Linked DNA regions of Saccharomyces cerevisiae S288C. The protein of the gene in region 1 interacts with the protein of each later gene in a biochemical or structural test. Each region holds a gene or a part of one and is shown on either strand. Other genes may lie near its edges.

The links.
Region 2: the proteins of TAF11 (region 1) and TOA1 form a complex in vitro, tested with the Saccharomyces cerevisiae proteins (one study listed by BioGRID).

What each region holds. Positions count from the first base shown.
Region 1 is NC_001145.3:241,219-244,975, reverse strand, and holds TAF11 (TATA-binding protein-associated factor TAF11), read left to right. Parts: upstream 1-1,946; coding exon 1,947-2,987; downstream 2,988-3,757. Other genes in the region: UBX2 (Ubx2p), read right to left, coding at 1-827; TRM9 (tRNA (carboxymethyluridine(34)-5-O)-methyltransferase), read right to left, coding at 912-1,751; PPZ1 (salt homeostasis regulator), read left to right, coding at 3,440-3,757. UniProt on the Saccharomyces cerevisiae protein: Functions as a component of the DNA-binding general transcription factor complex TFIID. Binding of TFIID to a promoter (with or without TATA element) is the initial step in pre-initiation complex (PIC) formation.
Region 2 is NC_001147.6:711,183-714,123, forward strand, and holds TOA1 (transcription initiation factor IIA large subunit), read right to left. Parts: upstream 1,362-2,941; coding exon 501-1,361; downstream 1-500. Other genes in the region: PEX27 (Pex27p), read left to right, coding at 1-394; SLK19 (Slk19p), read left to right, coding at 1,684-2,941. UniProt on the Saccharomyces cerevisiae protein: TFIIA is a component of the transcription machinery of RNA polymerase II and implicated in the regulation of basal transcription. Interacts with TBP (the TATA-binding protein).

The sequences.
Region 1 (3,757 bases):
TTATCAATCTTGCGCAAGTACTGTAAAGTCTTCTTGTTTAACAAAATCTTTTCCAATAGTAGTTTAGAATTAACATCTACGGTATCAGTATCGGTATCGTAGGTGTCGCCCACTAGGATGAGCAACATAAACTTAAACTCTTCTTTTGCAATACGCAAGGCCTCATTGAAGGAAATGTCTGGTTTAAAGCTTTTTAGTTCGCAAAATGCATCCTTGTCCTTCGTGTCACCCAGTATTTCTGCAAGTGGGATATGGGTTTCTCTGGTTGGTGCCTTTGGAACCTTGGAGATCTTGGGTTTTCCTGAATTACCGCCACCACTTATCGAATGCAGGGACAATAGAGTGCAAAAGAACGTGAATATTGTGGCAGATAACCTATTGATTATCCGAGGGATCAACAGTAAAATAAAAAGAAAGGGGTTACCATCATAACTAAAAGATTCAAACATGGACCACACAGTGTTAGAGCGTCCATTTAGCCCAATTGTTCTGAAATCATTGCGGAAGTTCGCTGGCAATGGTCTGACCACGGGCAGTGAGGCTGTAAATAACAACGGTCTAGGTCCCAACGCGGGAGGAACCAAGGTCTCAGCCATGGGTGTAGACGTTTGAGTGGGCTCTCCCATCTGGTCTGGTTCGCCTTTCCACTCTCCATCGAAATATCGGCTCAATGCTGGTTCTAACTGCCAACCATGGTTCCTCAACAGTCTCACCACATCTGGCAAGTCTTCTGGGGGGAAATTCGTGATGACCTGGAACTCATTTAACTTGTCCTCTTCTGTGTGCGAAAGGTGAAATTCACTATCCTCATGATTGACTACTGGCATCTTCGATTACACTATGAAAGCTATTACATACTTCTATCGTAATACCTGCTGCTACAAAATACACTGTCTACCTATATATCACCTTCATCTCTTCTGGGCCACCACCCACCAATTGTCGCGCTCGAAGCCCTCACTATGAACGGCAGCCCCAGCTTGGCGGCAATCCTCAGCCAATTCGCCCTCTCGGTATAAGTGATAGTATCGGTATTTTACCTCTTCTCTTTCCTGTTCTTGATCTTGTTGTTGCTTCTCGTCGTTATCATCAAGAGACTTACTGCGTTGCTGTTCCTCCTTCCAGCGCTGCAAGTATTCGGAACGCTCCTTTGGGGGAATATTCATTAAGTTTGGCTTTGGCCTTGTCTTGACTTTAGCAGGCGGCGTTGATTTAGTTTTTGGTTTGGATTTACTCTTGGGAAGAACCCAGGGGACAAAGACATCTTGCTCCATACCTTCATGGTAACCTCTACGGGAGCTGCCCTGTTCTAGAGCCCAACAATATATTAATGCTTGTCCGCCCTGACGTAGCTTCGATAGAACGTGCCTGATCACCTCAACACGTCTCTCCCTTGTAGACCAGTGATGCACTACAGCAATTGAGATGGCGAAGTCAAATGTTTCGTTTTTGTGTGGTAAGTTCAGCCCGTCTGCCACCAGTAAGTTGTACGATGGGTTTATTCCTCTGGCGCACTCAATAAGACCATCTGAGCGATCTGAACCGATAATATATATATCAGGGTTCACTCCGAGGTACTTTCCATTGCCACACCCGACGTCGATACCGATGGAACCCATTGGGCGAGTCTTCAAGAACTGAGTCACTATGGGCCATGGCTTATATCTAGTTTGCGAGAAATGCGGAGCTATCTCATTATACACTTTGTGAACATACTCCTGTTCTTTTTCAGCCGCTTGGTTTATCTCCATGTTGGTTCTTAACCTTTTATTTCTTGGCTCTTCGAGACCTCATCTCTGTTCAGTTCATTACCGAATTTTTTCTCTTATTCCCATTTCTTCGACTGAAAAGTTGAAAGAAATTGAAAAATCAAGAAGAGGTATATAGAGATAATTATCCATATAAATGAAGAGCACAAAGTAAGTTTGAGCTTCAACAGCGCAACGATGACCGAACCTCAAGGTCCTTTGGACACCATCCCGAAAGTGAACTATCCGCCAATACTGACAATAGCAAACTATTTTTCCACAAAACAAATGATTGACCAAGTCATCAGTGAGGACCAGGACTACGTTACGTGGAAATTGCAAAACCTGCGAACGGGTGGTACATCAATCAACAACCAATTAAATAAATATCCAAAATACAAATACCAGAAAACCAGGATAAATCAGCAAGACCCGGACTCTATCAACAAAGTCCCAGAAAACCTGATCTTTCCACAAGACATTTTACAACAGCAAACACAAAATAGCAATTACGAAGACACCAATACCAACGAAGATGAAAATGAAAAACTTGCGCAGGACGAACAATTCAAGCTCTTGGTAACCAACTTGGATAAAGATCAAACTAATCGGTTTGAAGTTTTCCATAGAACATCCCTAAACAAAACCCAGGTCAAAAAACTGGCTAGCACAGTAGCTAATCAAACTATAAGTGAAAATATTCGTGTTTTTCTGCAAGCGGTGGGAAAAATATACGCTGGTGAGATAATCGAATTGGCCATGATTGTGAAGAATAAGTGGTTGACAAGTCAAATGTGCATAGAGTTTGATAAGAGGACCAAAATAGGCTATAAATTGAAAAAATATCTAAAAAAATTGACTTTCTCCATCATAGAAAACCAGCAATACAAGCAAGATTATCAATCCGATAGCGTTCCCGAAGACGAACCTGATTTCTACTTCGACGATGAAGAAGTAGACAAGCGCGAAACTACGCTGGGCAACTCGTTGCTACAGTCCAAATCCTTACAGCAATCAGACCATAATTCACAGGACTTGAAGCTACAACTCATCGAGCAGTACAATAAGCTCGTCCTCCAATTCAACAAACTAGATGTAAGCATCGAGAAATATAACAACAGTCCCTTATTGCCCGAACACATCCGTGAGGCGTGGAGACTCTACCGTCTGCAGTCGGACACTTTGCCTAACGCTTACTGGAGAACTCAAGGAGAAGGGCAGGGATCCATGTTCAGATAGCTGCCCATAATTGTCCAACGGCTCCAACATATATCAATCTATATATAAACATATATATAATTTTTAACATGTCGTTTGAAATGACATGTCTATTTTTAAAAGGATAGCATATAAATTAATGAAAAAAAAAAAAAGAAAACGATTACTGCAGATCTTCTAATTCTGTTAATCAGCTTTCTCTTGTGAACCATTGGCAGGTGGGTAACATAAAAGCACAATACAATAGCTTCCATTATTAGTTTTGTTTGTTTTGGCAATACATGTTAAATCTTTTTCTTTCAAGTTAAATATAAAGATTATATATAAAAGTACTTCTTTGGAATACATTTGATTATACTTTTCTTTATCGTTTTATTTTTATTTCATCGTTATAGTCGCTTCTTTTCCCCTAGAGGCTTTGTCATAAAACAACAAATCAACCACTCTCTGCTTATCTTTCCTTCCTTTTCAAAATGGGTAATTCAAGTTCAAAATCTTCGAAAAAGGATTCACATTCGAATTCCTCCTCGAGAAATCCTCGTCCTCAAGTGTCGAGAACCGAGACTTCCCATTCTGTGAAGTCTGCAAAATCAAATAAATCTTCAAGATCAAGGCGATCTCTTCCTTCTTCGTCCACTACGAATACTAATTCAAACGTCCCTGATCCCTCCACTCCATCAAAGCCCAATCTTGAGGTTAATCACCAACGACATAGCTCTCACACGAATCGTTACCATTTCCCATCTAGCTCACACTCGCATTCAAATTCTCAAAACGAATTGTTAACTACT
Region 2 (2,941 bases), on another chromosome or scaffold:
CGTCAAAGAACAGCACTATATCTTATGGGAAGTTTTAAATATTCTTGCTATCAATAAAAACATTGAACAATGGCGACAGCTAATAAGAGATGAAATTTATTTAAGTATCTATAATACCAGTGGTAATGCAATAAAGGAATACGAGTTAAAGTACAAACTACCTACCAATGACAAAGTCAATTTGGAGTTACGGAAAAATAATATTACATTGGATTTTTATAAGATAATACTAAACTTATTGTCTAATCTAATTAATATTAAAGGTAAAAGGGACAAATATAACTCAGAGCTAGCTTACGAAATAATTTCAGTAGGTTCCGGTGTTACTGAACTCCTTAAGCTATGGAACCGAGCCAAAGTCACTTCGGCTAATGAACATACAAGCGCTGTTTGACAACAGATGACCAAGTTCGTTGCATCCCTCTTTATTTCGTTTTTTTAGTTTGATATTATAGTACTTGTATATATACATTTTTTCTTCTTTACGTCTAAAGATTTAGTTATACCCACTCCGCTTCCACTTGAGCTTTTTGGAATGTGTAGTCATTTCTATTGATGGTCACCACACCATCTTTCAGACTACATTTCCATCTCGCCTTTGTTCTTGTGACTTTATCATATAAGCACAGCATTAAGTTCTCATCTGGCCCATCCTCTTCACCCTCCGAAATTAGATAGTCATCGTCGGAATCATCTAGTTCTGAACCGACCTCATCCGTATCTAATAATGCACTTCTTTTTTCCTTCTTCGCTTGTAATTTTACTTGTTCTATCTGCTCCTTTTCCTTGCGGGTTTTTTCCACGTCCTCCTCCTTTTCCTCGTCGTCTTTCTTCTCACTTTCATCATCTATGTTTTCGACGGTAGTTATATTGGCATTATTAATAGTAAGTTCTATTTCCGGTTTTACTTCAATTTTAGGCTGGCTAGTTACGTCCGCATTTGTATTACCACTAGTATTTGTGTTCAAGGTAGCACCTGAATTATTAGTTGCTTCTACCGTATTCGTATTAATATTGGTCTCTCCAGAGTGCGGTATGTTGTTGTTGGAATTGATATTTGGCAAAATTAGACCTTCATTACCGGTATTCTCCTCCTTAATATTGAACTCGCTAGAATTTACGCCGGGGGTAGCAAGATTGAAATTTAAGTCGTTCTGTACACCATTGATATTTCCTTCATTGAACTGATTGTCCCATGAAAAAGTAGTTACCTTCGTCTCTGTGAGCTTTTTTTGCCAAATATTTTTTAGGTCTTGTAAAGTTTGTTCATCGATACCCGCATTTTCAAAGTCCTCTCTTACTTCATTTACCACAGACTCTACGATAATCTCGTACACTCTGCTGGCCTCTGCATTCGACATGATATCCAACGATGTCCCTTGTGTATGGCCTTGATTTGTGTGATACTATCGCTTTTCTTCTTTGAGCTTGCCCCCGATAATATGCCGTATGGCTTTATCCACCTTGTTATTTGGCTTCTTCATCTTTTCTTCAACTGTCTCACATCATACTTGACGAAGCTTTTTTTCGCGTTAATTTATATTCTTTATTTATTTATTTATAATTCAGAGTGTACGATGAGTTCCTCTTTAATGGTTCATTTGAAGGACACTAACTAAAAAGAGCATCATTGGTGTCAAGGGGCACCCAGTTAAAAAAGGTTTTGAGCACATATCGTAATTCATGAACGAAGTTCCTACCACTCCAGTTAGGCTTATTTTAGGGCAAGCTCAGCAACGCGAGCAGAATTCAGAAAACTGTTCGCAAGAACGTAACCCACGCACGTTTAATTCCGAACCGGATTCCAGCTTTAACTCTCCTGGTTCCTCCCAGTTCGTGATACATCCTCATGAACCGCTCGAGAAGGAGAAAGATGAGAAGCAGGATTTAGACCGCTCGATTGATTACGGTAGGTCATCAGCTCTTAACAACAAGAATAATGCCAATCCATTAGAGAATATAGACATAAATAAAATGTTTGATGACAAAAAATCAGATTCAGGTACCAATGATGATAAAGGAGGCGCAAGTACTAGTGATAAGCATGTCCTTGCATTGAATTATTCACCGATCAGAGTTGAAATGAACTCCTCAGAGAAACGAAGCGACAAAAACGTGGACGTAGATGAAAATGATAAAGAAGGTAGCCATATTAATAAAAAATTGAAATTGCAGTTAGAATCAGTACCTGATTTGAAACAAAGCTCTACTAAAGATATCATTAATGACAAAGAAGAAATTATGTCGTCTCCAATGGCGATTGATATGATTGAGACCAACATAAGCCCAAATAAATTCATAATAAACGACGGAGTTGAAAGAAACGATAGTTTCAATATCAATACCGACACACTTAAATTAGAAAATGATATAAATGAGAAACAACAAGAGGAAGACTTCATAAAATCTAACAGTAACAATGTGGTTAATATTGACAATGCTTATAAGGAAAAGGAGGACGAAGAAAATGATATAACAAATTCTCATATAAACAGGCTTACTCCTTTGTATGAGACTTCTGCAAGGGAGTCGAACTCAAATGAAGAGGGGAGGAATGACTACGATGATGACAACCAACTTGATATTAGACATGACAATTTTCAGATTGTAGCAAAAAGAAACGAGGAGCTCACTGATCAGATATATCACTTAAATCAAATGTTAAACTCTTTGATTTCCAAAAATGAATCATTGTCTTTTCAATACGAGAAATTGAACAAAAATCACCAACTACTAATAGATTTGACAAATGAAAAGTTAGATAAACTAAATACAGAAAGAGAGAGCGATATTGCCAAGGTGGAAAAATTCAAAAAGAGGATTAAGGAGTTGAATACAGAAATTAAGGTATTGAATTCCAACCAAAAAATATTACAAGAAAAATTCGATGCCTCAATTACTGAAGTAAATCATATAAAGGGCGAACATGAAAATACTGTCA